3 linked regions of the Nothobranchius furzeri genome follow. The protein of the gene in region 1 binds, or shares a complex with, the protein of each later gene. Links are inferred from orthologs where the notes say so. Each region holds a gene or a part of one and is shown on either strand. Other genes may lie near its edges.

Region 1 (6,062 bases):
GAGCACATTTGGACAGATTTCCTGCTGCAGGCAGCATCAGGCCTTCTGGCCGACCTGTTCGTTCACTCTGTTGAGTTTTTCCAGCGCGTGCAGGCAACATCTGCTCCAGTCGTTTATTTCCGAGTGGCATCATCCGAAGGCTGATAGAGGAGGCGCGCGCATGACGACGCGCACGCACACACACACACAGCAGTTGCATGCCATTTTTTTCAGAAAGCAGCAGTAAAGGTCTGTTTTCTTCATCTTGGATTGCAAATTTAACACACACACACACACACACACACACACACACACACACACACACACACACACACACACACACACACAATAAGTACATAAATTGCCAATTCTGCTTACGAGCTGTAAATCAGTTCTGTCATGTTTTGTCCTGGGTCGCCCCCTAGTGAACAAGTTGGTTAACTACACCCAAAAGTAACTTGTTTATCTTGCCACAATTTACTGGCCAGGCAAGCCAACATGTATGGATGAATATACAGTCTGGCCATTACATAAATAAATAAATGAAATACAAGTAAATGGGGCTATAAAAGTTATTTTCTAATCTGCTTTGCCCCAAATCATATGTATGTTGTACTTTAATTTAAATGAAAATAAATAGTGTTTCAACTATGTCCATCAAGTACTTAGAGATTTAATAGCTTTTAAAAATTGTTATTAAAGGCACACAATGTACATTTTTCATATTTTAAAATCATTTTCTTTGAGCAAATATGTGCTAAAATAACCCTTTACACTGGGTTAAAGAAAAATCACTCAGACTCCACCACACTTGCAACTTCAGAGTATCCCGGTCCTTGTAAATCAATAGTAAAGTGGAGCTGACATGCTAGCGCTGCAGTCTGCTTCCAGCACATGATTCCTACATAGTTTAGATCATGAACACAGCTGATTGGTTTTAGTGATGAAACGCTCTGACACTAACGAAGGCTAAGGAGACATTTCAGTAGTTAGGTGAAGGTGTTAAAAACACGATTGCGCAAAGAAGAGTTTCACTTTTGGGTTTATGACAGTGAATTATTAATAGTCTCTAGGGGTGCTCAAAGTAAGCCAAAACTACCAATTGTGTCTTTAAACTTATTTTCTTTCTCCTCTTCTCCATGTTTGATTACATCAATTTGGTAATGAAGTATTTTCACACAAAACCTAAAATAACTTCTGCCGCCTATCATCATCAGTGCTTTCCTGGCATCAAAACATTTTTTTAAAATACACAGACATATTAAGAGAAATCTGTTGCACACAAGAAAATACCATCCCCTCATAGATCCCCATTCATTATTTGGGCAGTTGTGGACCCATGGTCCAGAAGTAGATGGGTGTGACATGTACGTTAACACATGCTTTTTTATTAAATAAAGGACATAAGAACCTTTATCTGCTCGTGACTCACAGAAAAGTCCAAGTCAGCCCAGTTCATTACACACATCCTTCCTTATGAATGCAGTCAGACACTTTCCTCCTAGGTATTCAGCGTTATAATGAACTGGTTTAAGCTGTAAACCCACTGGGCTGATTAATCGGAGGCTTCCCCTATTGGGAAGTATGAATTTGAGCTGGGCTATCAGTAAGCAGTGTGTGTTCTGGCCCTGGTCGGCCTGAAGCAGGCCACCTCGGGAAAAGGGCTGAAATAGTCCAGTTGCACCCCAAAAAAGGCAGGCTATACTAATGTGGACACTCTCTGTGCTATCCAGAGCATGCAGAGCTGATGCTAGTGGGAAAGGCCCATAATGGGAGTGTAACTAAACAGACGGTCTAGATTTCTAGGCTAAGGCTAATGATTTTCTGGTGTATATTTTATATTTTTTTACTGGTTTTAAAGAGACAATGTGTAGTTTTTACCATAAATTTCTGGAAACACCCATCAAAATGTTGTTGAAAATGAATTAAATGATGCCCAGTTGGTGAAAAATATTGGCAGCTTTGTAACATAACCATAAAAATCAGGTCATGGGAGTGGGTCTAAGTCTCTGGGCGACACCATATTAGATGCCATGTTTCCTTCTACGGGAGCCCATGAGGACAAAATGCATTTACTGATTTGTAACAAACGGTTACGACATGTTCTCCATCCATAAATGTTTTTCAAATCTACCTCTTCGCTTGTTGCCAGTGATGAATGGGAGTCTGATGTGCTTGTTATTTTGTCAAAGTTTGCATTCTCTAGGGCTTTTTGACCCTAATGGGCATCCGTTGGTAATGTCTTACTCCAACACAAAAATACTGCTTTCATGCAATGATTTAGGAATCTACTGCCCCCATCACCAGGAAAAATGCACACCATTACTTTAAGTGAAGCAGTCACTCAATGAATTTTATATTAAAACATTTTCTTCAGAAATCCAACTAATGTGATCTGAACCATCACTTGTGATAAAAATTTACTTAGAGCTACAATAAATGATGTGAGATGTTGAAGACAAGACAATACAGATAATTTAGTTAAACCTTTTAAAGAAAACTTTATTTTTTACTGAAACCAACATGCTCAAAGTTAGAGCTCTCTAGCGCCCTCTGCTGTCTCACATCTGTGCAGAAATAAAAAAATAACCTACTTCTCTCAGGTTTTCTGAACTTCAAGCAACACATTTAAAAAAAGTCTTGTTTGCTTATTTCAAGTAACCTTTCATAAAAAGCACAAAGATTTTCATAATTATTACATTTTAAATATTTACAAACAGGATGTCGTTGAGAAGAGAAATAATTCAGGATACGGTAAAAGCAGACAAAACAATGTGGCTCAAGATTCTGTAAAATAACAGGAAGTGGAAAAGTCGAGTAATCAAAGCAGATTCTGACAAATCAGCTTACAACTGATGCTCAGAGGTCAAAGCCGATGGTGCTTTGTCGTACACTCCATCAGGAAAACCCTCACTGACTGGTCTCCTCGGCATTCAGAGTCACGGGCTTCTTGGTGGAATATTCTAGCACCCAAGGGTGGGACAGGACTCCCTGGATGGGCAATCTGTGCATGGGATTGTGCTTCAGCAGCCTCGCTACCAAGTCTTTGGCTCCAGCACTGATACTGGTCTGTGGAGGATATGTGTACTCCACCTAAAGGAGGGAATGAAATCATGACAGGTAGAATCGTAAATAACAGAAGCTGTGAATTAGCAGTTTTAATAAGGACAGAATTGTACATATTTACTCATAGTTTTAATACATTTGCAGCAATTTCTAGCTGGAATTAATGCGTTGTAAGTTGTTGACTGCAGAAAAAAAGCTCCAGAGCGCCTGTTTCAGCACGGAGAATTCCAGTTAGAGAAAGTAGCTTCAGATGGCAGGAATGAGTTTTATTTCCTGATATTTGAACACCATACCTCTGATTGGATAACAGCAATGCGACTTCACCACTGACTTCCTTTGCAACACCGATGTTTTACCTCCAAAAATAACAAGTCTGAAGGAGTTCTGCCATACTGCGGAATTGCTATTGCTAACAGTTAGCTTCTGCTAGTCGAGACGTTCTCTGCTGTTTCCTGGACACTAAATAAACAGCTTTTGCCGCCACGAGTCAAGATGAGTGAGTCCATGAATGTCAAGATTTTCTGAGCAGAGGTTTTTCTGTCTATTTTCTATCAGAAGCTAATGCAGGAGATAGGTGAAGACAACTATTTTCATGTTTAGGCTACACGTGAAACTTGGACACTGATCATTTTCTAAAATAAGTAAAAAACTGTTTCTCAGTGAGCCTGGCCTTTAAGTCTGCAGATCTGTACACAACAGAAATAAAACTATTTTAGGAAAACATCCAACTGATTTCCTTACAGAAAGTACAATTTCAATTTGATTCACAATTAACTCGACCCAGCTTTAGCACAATGTACAGTAACAATAACATGCCAGATTATGACATCATGACCAAGAGTGTACGGTCGGTAAAGACGGCTCTCCCTTGCCCTGCCTCCATCTAAAAGGCTAGGTTATCCAGAGTTATCTCTGTAGTTATGCTGCTATAGGCTTAGACTGCTGGAGGATACACTGACCACTTTCCACACTCTACTACTTTCATCTACAACTTTAACTGTATTATTTCCTGCTATTTCAGTTGTTAACTTTATTTTTTCTCTTTTTCTCCCCAGAATAAGCAACAATGATGTTCTGCTGAGCTGTGGTGGCCTCATGGAGGGGGCCATCATCTAGCACACTACTGCTAACCATTTAAACATTCTCCCTCTCCTGATAATAACTTTTTGCTTTCCTTGACGTTGGATGTGCTACAACTAGTTTACCCATTTAATTATAGATTCACTAGGATAAATACAATAAAGTTTATCTCTCATCAAATAGAATATTTACTAAGAAATCACGATGTAACCATAGAAACATTACTTGGTGTGCGTGCGTGTGTGTGTGTGTCTGCTCTGTCTTCTCGATCCCCAGTGAGTCGTGGTGGATGGCTGCTTATACTGAGTCAGGATCCTCTGGAGGTTTCTTCCTGTTAAAAGGGAGTTTTCCTCTCCACTGTCGCTAAATGCTTGCCTAGTATTAGGATTGCTGTAAAGTCTGATGCAATTTGCTGGGTTCCTTATATAAGAAACATTTTTTCATATTGACTTAATGAACTGACCTGGATTGGAATGTTTATTATGTGAAGTGCCTTGAGATGACTCTTGTCGTGATTTGGCGCTATATAAATAAACTTGAATTGAACGAGTATTTATACATGTTTTGATTTTTCTTTAAATTAGACACACCAAAACAAAAACAGCTGAGTCTCATACCCTTGAAATCTTGCGGTAGGTTTCCTCATGAGTTTTTGCTTCAAAAGGAGGATGTCCAACTAGGAACTCATAGCAGAGGACCCCCAGGCTCCAAAGGTCCACCTTTTCATCATGGGTTTTGCCTTCAATCATTTCTGGGGGCAAGTAGTCAAGTGTTCCACACAGAGTGGACCTTCTGCAGGGGTAAAAACATTTCTAAAATAGGACTTTATTATGCAAGGACAGAAAAGATCGTCACACAAAGAAAAACCAGACAACGATCCTCAACATCAGCAGACCAGAGCCCATAAAACACAGTAAGAAGTTGCATTAAACACATCTGCGTACCTGGATGAAGGGGTGTGAACAGACCAGCCAAAGTCAGCGATCTTCAGCTCCCCGTTGCCTCCCAGGAGCAAATTCTCTGGTTTGATGTCTCTGTGGATCACATTCTTGATGTGGCAATAGTGGAGAGCATCTGCCAGCTCCATAATGTACTAATAACACAAAAGAAAAAACAGTAAGTGGAATTAAGAGTACACCTTCAATAAACCTGTGGAATGTTGACTGTGTTTGAAGTTTGAAGTGTTTTTAACTTACTGTTGCACTCCTGTCTTCTGGGAAACTTCCACACTTCTGCAGCTCGCCGTACAGCTCTCCCTTAGGTGCAAACTCAAGGATGAGATACACACGGGTCGCATCATGGAAGTAGCCATAGAGACGAAGGATGTTCGGATGCCTGTATGAAACCCATGCAGGAGAGAATTCTGTGAAACTGTCTTAAAGGAACTCAAGACAGAGGATAAAGTTTAGATTGGTGTTTTATTGTAATTTTCACATCACATCACCTGAGATGAGACTGAATCTCCACCTCTCTCCTCAGCTGGTGTTCCACCCCAGCCTTCTCAAGCTGGTTCTTGAAGAGCACCTTCAGGGCCAAGATGAATTTAGTCTGACGCTCCCTCGCCAAGTAGACGTTCCCAAACTTGCCCTTCCCCAAGGGACGGCCGATATCGAAGTTTTCCAGGCACCACCGCGTTCTGCATTTACACAGCAGTACAGAGTTAGAAATCCTATTCTGATCTGTTGAATTATTGCACAAATAGAATGTAGAATGTGCACTTGACGTACTTTGATGGGGCCACCTGATTAGTCTTGGCAGGTTTGTCTTAAAAAAAAAAAAAAAAAGGATATTTTAGTGTCTACAACAAACACTTGCTTATTCTTGTTTATTTTAGAAATGTGCATACTCTGTGGCTTTGCCTGCTTTGCAGGATCAGAGGGAGGCTTGGCACTGGGTACATGGGTCGTCGGCTGGTTTTGCTGGGAAACAGGCTTTGG
Region 2 (7,523 bases), on another chromosome or scaffold:
GTTATTACTGTGAGGCCAAGGCCGCGGGAACAGCGACGTGCGTCTGAGCGGACGGGCCTGCAGACTTTTTGGGGCTCTCCCTCAGGAGGGGATCAAATTTTAGGTACAAAGATTGCTTTCGAAGGGCAGACTCCTTAAACTGTAGATTGAAAAGAAAACATTTAAATACCTTTAGGTCATGAACTAACTATCAAAATATCCGGTTACCGTACGCGTCGTTAGCACTTACACTGCTGGACCCAAACTGCTCAAGGTAGTCGATCTGCCCGTCAAAGCCACCGGCCACGACTGGTAATGTAAATCAGACCGAACTAATCAAGCACAGATCAAACTAATAAAGTGATGTGAATTCCAGGTTTACTCACACATAGTTCCAGGAACAAACTCCTCACTGAACTCGGTGTCCATCTGTAGCTGCTGATCGGGCTGAGGCGGCTCAGGAGCGTTCTGCACGGGGTCGTCACTCTCAAGTGGAATTTCCTGGTCATGAGCGGAGGTAGCCTTGTGATCAGCGATCTGACGGTTAGGAGGGTGATATTTTTGTGTGTGAGAAAAACACGAGCTAAATAGGAACTTAAACTGAATACAGGGTGTCTGCAGGTTTAAGGGAGCCAAATTTAAGACTTTTTAAGACCTTTTTTTAAGGCCACTTTGACCAAATTTAAGCTATTTTTAGAATTAAATTTAAGCTATAATTTCCAGCTATTGCCTGGAACCGATGCCAACCACATCGCGAACGTGGGATTAGCCATCCAGTTACCATTAAACGTCCCCATGGCGCAAGCTCCCACTAGCTTAACCAGCTAATGTGCCCATCTAAAACTAGCTCCCTTTCACAACCAACTGAATGTGTATGGTTCCGCTTCGCGAACATTATACACAACAATGCTGAACACTAACTAGAAATTCACGAAATTTTTATCGAAATAAAAGAATCTTGTTTATTGGGCCTTTGGTAATTTAAGACCTTTGGAAACTGTATTAAAGGATTATTTGTCATTTTTAAGGATTTTTAAGGCCTTAAATTTTGAAAAGCAAATTTAAGACTTTAAGGACCCGCAGATACCCTGTGAATAATAGCTTACATCTTCATGGTTGGGCTCAGCTGTTGGTAAGCTCTCACCAGAGCTGCAAGGAGCAAAAACATTTACGATCAAAACTTTGATGCTGGAATGTGAAGAAAAATAAAGACAGAAACTCAGTTTTACTCACCTCTGGGAAGACCCATCTTCCTTTTTGTCAGTTTGCTCGGGAAGGTCTGCTTCCTTGAGCACAACTGCGGGTTGGCCACTGCCCTTTGGAGAATTCGTGATTCTTGCTTTAGCGCCAAAAGGATTGAAGTACGGGTCATCCAAGTCCAGAGAGTAGGAACCTTTAGGAACTGGATCATCAGTGACATCACTCACAGGCTTCATGGGAGCTTCTGCTGATGCTTTAACATCAGAAGTCGACTTTTCGTCTTTAGGTTTTACAACAGAAGGTCTTTTGCCGAACCTTTTGGGTGGTGGCTTTCGTTTGACTTCGCTGCAGTCTCCGAAAGAGAACTCAAGTTTGACGGAGTGCTCATTGACTGGAGGGTCCGCAGGCTCGGACTCAGCTGCTGGAGGCTTGGCTGCATCAGCGGGTGTTGGGTTCACCGTAGAAATGGACTTCACATCCTGGGCAGGTGACTCTTGGGCTACCATAGGAACTTCAAACACGCCCATAGATATCTTTTCTTCTGTAGGTGGATTACTGTTTGGTACTTTTCTCTCTAAATCAGGTGAATTTGGAATTTTAGAGCCTCCAGTCTGGAATGGATTAATTTCATCAAGGTTGTCAAAATCCATGTTGTAAGCTCCTTTTACTGGAAGTGGAGAATCTTCCACAAAACTGCCAGATGTCTTCTCTTGATCGGACAAACTAGCAGGCTGTTTTTCATCAGGCGTGTCTGTGCATGGACCTTCCTCTACTGGGACCTTCACGGTCACCGTGACCACACTGCTGTCTGTGGAGCTCATGTTGGTGGAAACATCTGCATAAGAATTTTCCACAGATGGCGTGAATGGAAGCGTGTCGTCTAGAGCGGGTGTCATGTCAGTTGGCTTATTTTGAATATTCTCTGGTGACATGTGCTGCTGAGGCTTGGGGTCATCTGTAAGAGTCTCAACAGCGGGCCTCCCAGGGGTCACGGCCATCTTGTTAGAACTCTGAAATGGATTGATGGCATCAAGATTGTCAAAATCCAACTGGTAGCCGCCTTTGCTTTGTATCGGCATGTTGTCGTCGGGATAGGATGACATCTCTGTGAAAAGGGTTAAAAGAGTTTGAGTTGGATTGTTTACATCAAGCTGTAAAAAAATAATATGGGATGAGTTACCTTGACGGGGTGGCTCAATCTGCTCCTGTGTTAAAGTACTGAAAAAAAACTGGTGTTATTTCAAAGCACAAGCAATTGAAACTTAAAAACATGTAGGAAGTATATGACTTATTTACTCTGGCTTATCCAAATCCAAGGACACTGTTGCTTTATTATTCTCATCCACACTTAACATGTTGACAGATTTCCTGGGAGACAGGATTCTTTTAGTCAACGGGTCTCTTCTTGGTGTCTGAAAACAAACCTAAACATAACATTGTAATTAGTAAATACAGATCAAGTTACATAAATGACTGAATCTGTCAGAACTAAAAGGTTTTGCACCTTTGCCCCTTTTGGCACAGTCCTGTTGGGAAGGTTCTCCGTCTGACGCAGGATAGATTGCCTCCCGGTTGGCTGTTCCAGGGCAAATACATCTAGACTAGAATCGTTGTGCTTTCCTGCTGGGATGACCCCACAATTCTCATCATTTATGTCGACAGAACTCATTCTGTAAAAGAGGAGAAACTAACTAAAATTACAGGGCAGGGACAGATTAGTTACACTCTGGTGGGAAGGGGCCATGCTGAAAGCTGTCCTCGGTTGATAAGACTTCTACTCAGTTCAGCAATTCATGTGACCTTAGGGAAAAAAAAATACATAATTTGTTCAGGAATCGAGGCACATGTGACTGCACTCCACTGACTTGTGGACTGAGGTCAGTAAATCTGTGGTACATATTTTCATTTTTTTGGTTAATATAACTAAATATTTTGTCAGAAAGTTGTCTAATATTTAGATTTTGCCCCAATCAGGGCAACTTTTAGTTGAAAACTAATCAACTGCAGCTGAAAACAAAGCAGTGGCACAACAAGACCACAAGATGGCACTGATGATCACATTAATCTGTAGTCAAAAATGTTAATCAGAAAAAAAACTCTCCTACAGTCTCTGTAGAAAACACATAGGTTTATGGAAATTCAAAAAGGTGTTTAATCTACTTTTCATATCCTGGGCAAATTTTGTCAAATTTTCAATCCATGAGGAAAGTTAGGAATAAACTCAAAATTTGTTTTCCTCCAGACTTTTCCCCAATTATACCATATAAACCACCAGTATGATTCTCTCTCTCTCACACACACACACACACAACGAATATGAGATGACAAACTGCGTTGTGGCTCAACAGAAGAAGTAGAAGAAAAATCATTTCTATACAGAGAGAACAATTTAATCATAAAGTTCTTACTTGGTGTAAAAGTTAACCAGTAGACTATTTTATGAACGGTTACCTACAGCGCTAAATCAAAAATCGGCACCCAATCGTGACCATTATTTAATAAACTTCGTTTTTATAGCCTACATTGTTATTTTGTTTGTTTAATTGTAAAGCACGTCGTAATTCTAATCTTGAAATGTGCCATATAAATATTATTTATTTGCTAAATTTAGGGGAAAGAGCCCAGTGTTTAGCATAGTTAGCAATCGGTAAGCTAACGGTCAGAGACGGAAAACAAAAGCTCAACTTCACTTTTAAACACGGAAAAGATCCAAAAAGAGAACATTCGCACTACCCGTGTGTCTGTGGGACTACTTACCTGCAACTCACTTATTCTTGTCTGAAATTGCACCGTTTCTCGCTAAAGTTTTCCACTGAACCGAGCAAAGCAGAAATTCTTTTGAAAAGCCCTCGCCAGCGTCTGTGAGACAGCCGTTTGGAATTTAACAGTCGAATTTAAACAAACGGCGCTTCCGCGTTAAACAGCCAATGAGAAGTTACAGCGGATATGACGCAACTGTCATCTCAGCCAAAAGAGAGCGTTTAGGCATTTACATTTATAACATTTTAGTCAAATAATATGGCTTTTAAAAAAGTATTTCTCTTCTTTTAATGAAGTCATCAAAATGTTCGTCTTACTATATTCCATGACACTTTTGTACAAAAATATTAATTTAACAAACAAACACACCTGCAAGTATTTTTTTTATTTATCTTCACAGTAGAAAATAAATAATTTTCATTTTTGTTTTTGCTTACAAGCGAAATAGAAACATGTCCATTATAACCTATCAAATTATGAACAAAGTTGAAATGAAGAAAATAACTAGCTTTAAAAAGCAGCCTGACTTTTTTTATTCCATAAATGATGAGTAATTGTTGCCTTGTTCAACTTTATTCCAGCATCTGCTCCTTGTGACAAGGCTGAAGTTAGATGCTATTCGTGACATGGCTAAAGGGCAATTACACCTAGTTTTTCTCTACTCTGACCATCTGCTCAAAAACTACAACACCCACACTCTTCAAACCTGTACTGGATTATTATTATTATTATTATTATTATTATACACTACCAGCAGACTGCATAAAATATAGTTTGTGATTTGTGAAAACTTTTTAGCATCTGGTCCACACTGGAACTGGACTAGCTCAAAAACTAGAGTCTGAAATAAAAAAATTTCATTGGAAATTACACTTGAATTATGTGAATACATGGTATTTAAAAGCACATTAAATCTGGGAGAAGTTTTTTCTAATTAACAGTTTTATGTAACACAGGCATCAATTAAAGCACAAGAAAAGGTCAATGCATTGACCCAAGCGAGGCATTGGAAAACATAGAGCATGGTGAGATGGAGGAGAGAGGTAAGAAAATTTGAGTGACTGAAAGATAACTGCAACAAAAAGTTGTTTTGTATGTCTTTTGGAATGTTAAGGTTTGTGACAACTGAATTTATTTGTTGCTTCTCATGAAACTCAGAACTGGGGAGATGTTCAATTCTCTGAAGTTATCTGGAACATGATTCAACACAAGTTTGAGGGTGGATATTTGTTCTTGTTTTTAATTAAGACAATTTTATTGTGAAGACACCTTACCCACATGCAAACTTAAAACAAATCTGAGTTAAGTTGTGGATGTTCTGTAACTGTGCTGCATCACAAAAAAAGTTGGTTGGACGTATCACAATTCAGAAAAAGGTTTCACAAATCACAAACTATGTGTTGTGGAAATTTGTATGTTTATTAATTCTTGACCATTGATTCAATCAACTGAATGTAATATGTATTGCTCTCTGCCTCTTTGCATGCCCACTTATTCAGACACACCCACACAAGCCACACACACACACACACACACACACACACACACACACACACACACACACACACACACACACCTCTCTCTCTCTCTCTCTCTCTCTCTCTCACTTACATTCCTTTCTTATCTCTTGGTATAAATAAACTGTGACCAGATGTTCGGGCCATTTTGCCTTGTGCATTGTGCCACAGTTACAACTGTTTGACTTGTCTGTTCATTGTCTCCTTTTTCTCTTCGACTACAGGAAACGGGTTATTGATAAACATATTGATAAAATCCTTTACACTATTAGTGTAGAATAATCCAGTACAGGTTTGAAGAGTGTGGATGTTGTAGTTATTTTTTTTACCTAGACCAGTTCCAGCATGGGCCAGATGCTAAAATTCAGCTTCCAGTGAGCTGAATTTATTATTATTTTTTGCACAATCTTCTTTTAAGTGATTGCATTTTAAAAAATTGCCAAAGGAAAACATATCGATTGTTTTGTAGCAAAGAAAAATGTCCAACTGGGCAGTGAAAACATACTATTACACATTTGGTTACTTGGAAATTTCTCCAGATAATTTTAAAGAAACTGATCTTAAACTCTATCTGGCCTCCATAGAAAATTAAAAATGGGCAATAAGAAGTTAACAAAAACGATTAAACTAATAAAATCCTTTAGGTTTATCACTTCTAGGTAAGCAGATCCCCCTTTTTCTCGTTTCCTATATGGTTGTGTGTCGTTTTGATCACTAAGACATCATTGTACTATTGTGTATAAACATGATTTTGAATTTTGTACAGGCATGATGATGATTAATAATAATAATAATAATAATAATAATAATAATAATAATAATAATAATAATAATAATAATAATAATAATAATAATAATAATAATAAAAACTTGGAAATTTATCATTACTGCATGAAGTGCGTATGTAAATATTTTTTTTCCTCTCCAACATCAAAATTTTAATGTTGTTGGTGGGAATGAATAATTGGAAATAAGGTGGGAACACAGTTCCATTTTTTTATTTTACAGCGGACACATTTCAGCGTAACACCGGGTAGTTTTCTGGGGAAGACGACTAGCCCGCCAATTTTAAAGAACAACATAAACAATGTTGTCCGTCCGTCTCTGATTCTGTGACGTGAACAACGTATAAATAGATTTTTAACGATTAATTCTTCGTAGACAACGATGCAAACTACTGGAAAAGGTAGTGAAATGTTCGGTTAATCAACAAATATGCTGTCAGTTAAACTTGATACCGACATTCGTTGTTTCCTTACTTATTTTTTTAGCTAGCTACTGAATATTTGCCTTGGGTTAAAGTTTTAGCACCATAGGATGCGCGATCAATTCATGTGTTGTCTTTTCATTAGTGTCAGTTACAAAAAGTCATTTAACGAACGTTTGAACATTTTGTTACCAGGCTTTGGAGATTCAACCCTCCTTGCTGCAAGGTAAGGTACCTTTAGGCCTCTTTGTCCCTGCTAAATATGCAAAAAGTAGCAATAAAACTAAACTGTAGATGATAATTGTGTCTTCTAGTAACAGCTAATGCAATGCTCCCATGCAAATGTTTTTATTTTTTTCTGAAGCATTTATACTTTCAATCACCAGCTTTATAAGCAACTATCAGGAATGAATTCAACTAATAAACTGTTAGCAATTTTCTTAAAATTTGAATCCTATTTTTTTATGAAAATAATCTGTTGATGTTACAGTGGCGACAGTGATTCAATTAAAGTATTTGTCCGAGTGCGACCTCTGACCCAGGGAACAGGGCTGACCACAGATGGAGATCAGAATCTGTGTCTCTCTGTTACCTCCCCACACACCGTCCGTCTGCTCTCCAAACCAGAACCACGAACCTTCACCTACGATCATGTTGCTGACATGGAGACATCTCAGGTTTGAAACACCGTCATTGCATTAAATACATACATAGGATGTAAACTTTTTGGGGAAAAATGTTTAATTTTTGTGTTCCAGGAGTCTGTATTCAACAGTGTGGCCAAGAATATTGTTGAGTCCTGCATGAATGGATATAATGGTACCATATTTGCTTAGTAAGTGTCATTTTTATGTACAATA
Region 3 (7,689 bases), on another chromosome or scaffold:
AGTTAGTTAGTTAGTTAGTTAGTTAGTTAGTTAGTTAGTTAGTTAGTTAGTTAGTCTGCTTCCGTACATTTTTTGGCATTTAACTACTTCCACAATTCTTCAACTATTTACACAATTTCGGTATCAAAACGTTCAGCTCGTTCAGCTTATCCCAGCAATGACTTTTGGTATTAGAATATTTAATACTTTTTTAGATATTCAGCTTTTTCTGCGATTTTTGGTCTCATTGAAATGAATGGGATTGCTCAATTTTCAGCTAAATCCTATCACTTTTTTGAACTCTTATAGGTTAACTTCAACCTAGAGACTTCATTCAAGTTTCAACAAACTCACAACACTTTCAGCTATTACTGGTTAAAAAATCTTTTTGATGTCTATTACAGTTTTTCTAAAACACAGGTAGAAGTTGAGGTACGGCTTGAGATTTTCAGAAAAAATCTCAAAAATCATAATGGGCAGAGATAGGAGCAGTGACCCTCCTTTGCTCCATTTCTGGCATTGTCCTGAGAAAACAGTAAGTCCGATTGAAATGAGACGCACGCTGGCTTGCAGCTAACGGATATACCTTCGTTTTGAGCTATAAATCATGAATGTACTCCAAACATTGTGGTCGTACGGTTCATTTGTTTGAGAATATTTAAATAAATAAAAAATGTCTCCCCACTCTAAACTGAAAATTCCACACCGTAACTTTTGACCTTCACGTTTTCTGGAAACAACTCTTTCCAACGCCCAGACCGTTTGGAGTACCGAAACAAATTATATCTCAAAAAGTAGGAATTTCTGTCAGCTTTTCAGAATGGGTTTTGTTTTATCTGTAAGTGTTACCGCTGCCTGATTGGCTGAGAGAGGTCAATCATCTTCTGGCTAAATGGACTTTCACACCCACACATGTGAGACATCAAATCGATCGGCTTGGCCTAAGGAATTCATCCATCCACATATAAATCCATCCATGCTTCTATCCATCCAATAAACCATCTAACATCGATCCAACAATCCATCTGTCATTTCATTCATCCAACCATTCATCCATCCCATATCAAGTCTGCACATGTTTATCTATCAGTTTCAGATACAAGCAAATGTTTTTAAATTCACAGCTCAGCCAATTGTAAAAATGTACCTGTTAAATTATTCTCATTCAAATGCCAGCTGTTTAACATTTCAAATTTTGAGTTTTTTATTCAATGTTCAAAGATTAAAGTTTTCTGCTGTTTGGCATTTTTTGTCCATGCTTCACCTTTATTCTACACTTGCTGGTGATTTTTTGCTTCTAAATCCTTAAATACATTCAGCTCATTTTGACAGTTTAGCTTAGTTTCAGCTTCACTTCAGCTATTCAGCAGCTTCAGCAATCAGTTTCTGAATTTAGCATAGCGCCTTGGGCTTCCTGACAGGGTTGCGGAAGGCGCTTTATAAATAAAGCTTTGATTGATTGATTGATTGATTGAACTGCTAATTTCACAGTTCAGCTAAATGTAAATATTAAACTGTTAAACTAGTCCAACTGAAATAACAGGTGTTTAGACATTTTAGCTGCCCAGTTTTTAAACAATTTTCACAGATTTCAGTTTTCTGCTGTTTAGGATTATTTTTCTCTATTATTCACTTACTTTTTGTGCTTTATTTGGTTGTTGCTGCTTTTTGCTTCTACATCTGTCAATACATTCAGCTCATTTTGACAGTTTTGCTTCAGCTTCAGTTCAGCTGTTCAGCAGCTTCAGCTAACAGTTTCAGCCATCCAGCATTCAAACAGCATCTAGTTTATTAATATGACTGGCTAAATATCTTCTTTTTCTTTCTTTCCCTTTTCTTTTCTAAGCAGTGGAAGCCCATTCCTGGCACTCAGATAAAAAAATATCCCAATTATGACTTTGTATCTCATAATTATATCAGATCAAAGCTGGACCATGTGAGTCATACCCCCTGCAGGATGCCCCATCTGCTCTGAAGAGCAGCTTCAAGCTGATCCATCCTCGCTGTGTGAAGGAGACATAGTAGGTCTTTCCTACCTGCCACTGTTAAAAAAAAATGCATTGAACTTATATAGCGCTTTTCTAGACCCCCAAAGACGCTTTCCACACACTCTCACATTCACACACTGCTAGTGATGGTAAGCTACTTGTAGCCACAGCCGCCCTGGGGAGGTCTGACAGAGGCGAGGCTGCCATTTGGCGCCGTCGGCCCCTCTGACCACCACTAACACAGGCAAGTTGGGTGAAGTGTCTTGCCCAAGGACACAACAGCGGAATACCTCTGGCGGGAGCTGGAATCAAACCCATGACCCTCCGATCATGAGGCAACCCGCTCTACCACCTGAGCTACTGCTGCCCCTGTTAGACTCTATAATGGTCAATACTAATGCGGAACCAATACATCTGTAACATTCCACAACTAATATTATCACCGACATGTGCAATATTACTGCTACTATAGTTATTATGTGAATAACTGGTGCTGATGTCTCTGTGATAGAAAATTACAGGCCTATCTCTACCCTGCCTTTTACATCAAAACTGATTGAGAAAGTCGTTTATCAGCAGCTGGTCTCACATTTAGCTGACTCTGATCTGTTTGAGGTTTTCCAATCAGGGTTCAGGTCTGGCCATAGCACAGAGTCGGCTCTACTGAGGGTCCTAAATGACATCTATCTATCACTACATCAGGGAACATCTGTGGTGCTTCTGTTGTTAGACAGACTGTTGGTCATCTTAAGCCTGCAGGGTCTCCAAATGATGCTGTTCCTCCTCGAGTGTGAAATGGGAGCGTGGTAAGATGGCGCCGGTGTGCATGGCTTGCCGTCTGTCACTACCAGTGTTTTATTTGGTTGTTTTTATTTTATTGACTATTGTAGGAAATGCCAACTCTCTCTTGGTATATGATCGCCTAACCCTACTGGATCTCCGACCTTCTGTCAAAAGCTGGGCAAAATGGAACCAAGCTGGACATAAAACTCTGCCCCCGCTAATATCGGAGATCCCGGCTCACCTGTGCCGTGTTCCAGATCCACCACCCCGGCATAAGTGCCGTCGCCGGGGTCGCCGGGCCGGCTTCCTGGTGAAGATGAAAGCTTCTTTAGGCTATTCTCACAAGCCCTTATTTAGAAAACAAGGAGCGGTGCCAAACATCTGCTTCTCTCGGCGATCGTTGGATCCTGTCTGTGCCTGGCTGGTACCTGTCTTCGGCCTGGATGGGACGTCCCAGCCTCGAAAACCCTGCTCTCCTCGTCCCCGCCGGCGTGGTGTGAATCCGCAAAACCTGCGGCCTCTGTGTCGGGCTTCTATGGCGGCTAGCGACGGGGACCCGCCGCTTACTGCCAGGTTTGGCCTGGTAAATGCTAGGTCGCTAGCGAATAAAACATTTATTTTGAAGGATTTTTTTACATCCCGAGGACTGGATTTTCTCTGTGTCTGCGAGACGTGGCTGAGCGCCGGTGAGTGCAGCATCTTCTCAGATCTTCTACCTGGCGATTGCTGCTATTTTAATGCCCCGCGTTTGTTGGGCCGAGGAGGAGGAATAGCCACTATTTTTAAAAGTCATTTTAGATGTAAACAGCTACCAACCCCGTCGCTTACCAGCTTTGAACTGTCTGTGTTTGAGCTGGGCTGCTCTCACACAGTGTTGTGTGCGGTGGTTTATCGGCCTCCTAAATACAATAAGGACTTTTTGGATGATTTTGCTGATTTTTTGGCTGAATTCATGCCAAAATATGATCGTATTCTTATTGTTGGGGATTTTAATATTCACGTGTGTTGCCCTGATATGCCCATGGCGAGGGGCTTTTTAAACCTTATTGATTCGTTTAATCTGGTGCAATGTGTGGCAGGTCCCACACATGAACGTGGACACACACTTGATCTTGTTTTATCTCATGGCTTCCCTAGTTTTAACATAGAGATTTGTGATGCTGTGTTTTCTGACCACAGTCCTGTGTTGTTTGAAGTTCCTCTTGTATGTGCCTCAGTTAAACCTCGCGCTGTTGCTCAGTGCAGACGTGTTTTTAACTCCTCCACTGCTGAGCACTTTTCAACAGTCTTTAACCAGATTTGTCAGATCCCGGATTTTTTATGCAGCCAGACTGATGATCTGAGCTCTTGGTTTTATTCCACCTGTCGGACTGCTTTGGACACTGTGGCTCCATTAAAAACCAGGCGGCCTAAAACCAAATGTGAGCCCTGGCTGAACGAAATGACCCGAGCTGTCAGACGCGACTGCCGTCGAGCTGAACGCAAATGGAAAAAGGACAAACTACAGGTGTCATTTCAGATGCTGAAGGACTGTTGGCGTCAATATCAAAGAACTGTGAAAGAGGCCAAAAGAAAACACTTTTCGGACATTATTTTGTCTAACTGCCACAACCCGCGAGTGTTATTCAAAACTATTAACTCTGTTCTTAGTGCACCATATGCTGACTCTATTGAGCCCTCATTAGAAGCATGTGAAAATTTGTTACTCTTCTTTATTGAGAAGGTCTCCTCCACAAGGGCTCAAATCTGTCCTTGTGCTCATGACCCCTCAGTCGTTGTTTCCTGCTCTGCTGTCTTTGACAGGTTTGAGCCTGTGACTCTGTCATCTCTACAGGAGACTGTTGGTCATCTTAAGCCTGCAGGGTCTCCAAATGATGCTGTTCCTCCTCGACTTTTAAAAGAGGTGATACCTACAGTTGGTCCTCTGGTTCTTGAGCTGGTAAACCATAGTCTGAGGTCAGGCGTTGTCCCTAAAGATTTTAAACATGCAGTAGTCAAACCCCTGATTAAAAAACCTGCTCTTGATCCGCAGGATCTTGCGAATTACAGGCCTATCTCCAAACTACCGTTTCTTTCTAAAATTCTTGAAAAGGTAGTTCATAGCCAAATATTGGCCTTCCTGGAAAAGCAAAATGTATTAGAGGTTTTCCAATCTGGTTTTAAACCCTTTCACAGCACTGAATCAGCCCTTTTAAAAGTTTTTAATGACATATACTTAGCTACTGATGCTGGGGACTGTGTTGTTCTTGTGCTTTTAGATTTGACAGCTGCTTTTGATACTGTGGATCATGCTGTTTTATTCTCTCGTTTAGAGCACTGGGTGGGCATTAGCGGCACAGCTCTGGAGTGGTTCAGGTCCTATTTGGCGGGGCGAACTTTTTGTGTCAGTCTCGGTGACTATGTGTCGTCCTCCGCTCCGCTCTTGTGTGGTGTCCCGCAGGGCTCAGTTCTAGGCCCCCTCCTCTTCTCTTTGTATCTTCTTCCTCTCGGTTCTATATTGAGAAAGCATGGCATTGCTTTCCACTTGTATGCTGACGACTGTCAGATCTATGTCCCTCTAAAGAAAAAAGGCAGAAACCTCATACAGCCATTACTACAGTGTCTTGACGACATAAAGGCTTGGATGTCTGTGAATTTTTTAAAATTCAATGATAAAAAGACTGAGGTGATGATTTTTGGTAGTCCTACTGAGACACCCAATGTGTTTGTAGATTCCTTGGCCCAGTTTGTTAAACCAACTGTCACCAACTTGGGGGTCAAAGTGGACTGTGATCTGAAGTTTGAACATCAGATTAAGGCGGTGGTAAAATCTGGCTTCTTTCACCTCAGGCAGCTGGCAAAAATAAAGCCAATTCTTTCACGGCAGCACTTTGAGACAGTGATCCACGCCTTTGTAACCACTCGGCTGGATTACTGTAACGCACTCTACATTGGGGTCAGTGCATCATGTATTAGTCAGCTACAGAGAGTGCAAAATGCCGCAGCTCGTCTTTTAACTGGCACTCGAAAGTTTGAGCACATTTCCCCTGTTTTAGCTTCACTTCACTGGCTGCCCATTTCTTTTAGGATTCATTTTAAAATTCTTTTATTTGCTTTTAAAGGTCTTCATGGCCTTGCCCCCTCTTATCTCTCTGATCTGATACAGCCTTACACTCCCTCCCGCTCTCTCAGGTCTGCTGATCAGCTGCTCCTGATTGTACCCAGGACTGAGCGTAAATTTAGAGGAGATCGTGCTTTTGCTGTTGCAGCCCCAAAACTGTGGAACGAACTTCCTTTAGAGATAAGACAGGCCAGTTCCTTATCTGCTTTTAAGGCACTCCTGAAAACACACCTCTTTACCCTGGCTTTTAATACCTTGTGAGATGTTGGTTTCTATTTTTTATTTTATTTTAGCTGTTTTAGGTGATTCAAATGCGGTTTTATCAAGTTTTATCAAGTTTTTATTTTTAATATAGGGCTAGTTTAATTTTATGTATCATGTGTTTTATTTATCTTTGCTGTTTTCTTTCTAGTCAATTGTTTTAATGTACTTTCTGTACAGCACTTTGTTCCTGTGCTGGGTCTTGTAAAGTGCTTTATAAATAAACTGGATTGGATTGGATAGACCTGACGGCAGCCTTTGACACAGTTGACCACGCGATTCTACTGGATTGCTTGGAACGATGGGTTGGGATCAAAGGGTCAGCTCTGGATTGGTTTAGATCGTATCTCCAAAACCGGACATTCTGTGTTAAACTGGGTGATGTTTTTTCTTCTTGGGAGGGGCTCCGCTGGGGGTCCCGCAGGGATCGATCCTTGGTCCTCTTTTGTTTGCCATTTATCTGCTACCTCTGGGGTCAATCTTTCGTAAACTTGGCCTATCATTCCATCTGTATGCTGACGATTGCCAGATTTACTCTCCATTGTGTCAGGAGAAAGGTCACTCTATCCAGTCCTTTGTGTCCTGCATTAATGAGGTGAAGTCTTGGCTAATTGCCAACGTTCTGCATCTGAATGAGGGAAAGACAGAGCTCATTGTTTTTCACCCCAACACCAGGAATGTGGATCGGCATGTTGATCTTTGCACTCTTTCTCCCTACTCAAAACCAGTTGTGACCAGTTTGGGGGTGAAAATTGATGCTGGACTTAAATTTGATGCTCACATCAATTCTGTGATCCGGTCCAGTTTCTTTCACCTGAGACGCCTTGCAAAAATCAAGCCTATGCTGTCAAGAGCCCACCTGGAGCGGGTACTCCATGCTTTTGTAATTTCTAGGCTTGACTACTGCAGCTCTCTATATGCAGGGTTGTGTCAGTCATCACTGCGTCACCTACAGGTTGTGCAGAACAGCGCAGCAAGGTTCCTGACTGGGACCAGGAAACGGGACCACATCAGTCCGGTTCTGGCCTCCCTGCACTGGCTTCCGGTTTGCTATCATTCACACTTAAAACTCCTCGTCTTTGTCTTTAATTTCTTCCAGGGTTGTGCTCCCCCCTATCTGGCAACTCTCCTGAACAGACACTCCCCATCACGCGCTCTGCGCTCCTCTGACCAAGGCCTGCTCGCTGTCCCTCGTTCTAGGTGTCGTACTCGCGGGGACCGGGCTTTCTCAGTCCTAGCACCGTCACTCTGGAACCAGTTGCCACCCTCAGTTAGGCTGTCCCCATCTCTGACAGTCTTTAAGAGTCACCTAAAAACACACCTCCTCCGCTTGGCGTTTCCAGGACATGTTTGATTTTGGCCCTCTTTTATGTTGAATTAATTTCATAGTTTTCATTGGTTCACTCAATCCCTTGTTTTACACATCTGTCCTGTACTAGAATGTTTCATCTTTTTTGTAATTTGTAATCTGTAATTTGAATTGCTTTTATTTTCTGATTTATTCACTATATTTTTCTACTGTTCCATGTTATATACGTACATATATATATATATATATATATATATATATATATATAT

The links.
Region 2: the proteins of aurka (region 1) and tacc3 are in contact, whole or in part, in a crystal structure (PDB 5ODT), measured with the Homo sapiens proteins. The link is inferred for Nothobranchius furzeri from reciprocal best matches to the Homo sapiens genes AURKA and TACC3. Residues at the interface, in NP_001310232.1 of Homo sapiens: Leu130, Phe133, Glu134, Ile135, Gly136, Arg137, Tyr148, Leu149, Ala150, Arg151, Ile158, Val163, Arg205, Tyr207; in NP_001428248.1 of Homo sapiens: Glu523, Ser524, Phe525, Arg526, Pro528, Val531, Leu532, Gly533.
Region 3: the proteins of aurka (region 1) and tpx2 are in contact, whole or in part, in a crystal structure (PDB 3HA6), measured with the Homo sapiens proteins. The link is inferred for Nothobranchius furzeri from reciprocal best matches to the Homo sapiens genes AURKA and TPX2. Residues at the interface, in NP_001310232.1 of Homo sapiens: Lys125, Arg126, Gln127, Trp128, Asp132, Glu152, Gln154, Ser155, Phe157, Leu159, Lys166, Glu170, Gly173, Glu175, Leu178, Arg179, Val182, Glu183, Ile184, Ser186, His187, Leu188, Arg189, Tyr197, Gly198, Tyr199, His201, Val206, Tyr246, Ser249; in NP_036244.2 of Homo sapiens: Gln3, Lys5, Ser6, Ser7, Tyr8, Ser9, Tyr10, Asp11, Ala12, Pro13, Ser14, Asp15, Phe16, Ile17, Phe19, Ser20, Ile31, Asp32, Trp34, Phe35, Glu36, Lys38, Ala39.

Annotation. Positions count from the first base shown.
Region 1 is NC_091743.1:61,019,285-61,025,346, reverse strand, and holds the end of aurka (aurora kinase A), read right to left. Parts: coding exon 5,972-6,062; intron 5,890-5,971; coding exon 5,853-5,889; intron 5,762-5,852; coding exon 5,570-5,761; intron 5,461-5,569; coding exon 5,322-5,460; intron 5,219-5,321; coding exon 5,070-5,218; intron 4,918-5,069; coding exon 4,743-4,917; intron 3,073-4,742; coding exon 2,890-3,072; 3' UTR 2,456-2,889; downstream 1-2,455. UniProt on the Homo sapiens protein: Mitotic serine/threonine kinase that contributes to the regulation of cell cycle progression.
Region 2 is NC_091758.1:31,355,374-31,362,896, reverse strand, and holds the start of tacc3 (transforming acidic coiled-coil-containing protein 3), read right to left. Parts: upstream 4,076-7,523; 5' UTR 3,937-4,075; intron 2,850-3,936; 5' UTR 2,849-2,849; coding exon 2,684-2,848; intron 2,604-2,683; coding exon 2,476-2,603; intron 2,398-2,475; coding exon 2,360-2,397; intron 2,285-2,359; coding exon 1,213-2,284; intron 1,129-1,212; coding exon 1,086-1,128; intron 517-1,085; coding exon 366-516; intron 289-365; coding exon 230-288; intron 140-229; coding exon 9-139; intron 1-8. Other genes in the region: kinesin-like protein KIF15, read left to right, coding at 6,624-6,642, 6,859-6,889, 7,154-7,340, 7,422-7,498. UniProt on the Homo sapiens protein: Plays a role in the microtubule-dependent coupling of the nucleus and the centrosome. Involved in the processes that regulate centrosome-mediated interkinetic nuclear migration (INM) of neural progenitors.
Region 3 is NC_091755.1:45,546,306-45,553,994, reverse strand, and holds the start of tpx2 (targeting protein for Xklp2), read left to right. Parts: upstream 1-3,207; 5' UTR 3,208-3,436; intron 3,437-7,689. Other genes in the region: rhoaa (rho-related GTP-binding protein RhoA-C), read right to left, coding at 2,992-3,024. UniProt on the Homo sapiens protein: Spindle assembly factor required for normal assembly of mitotic spindles. Required for normal assembly of microtubules during apoptosis. Required for chromatin and/or kinetochore dependent microtubule nucleation.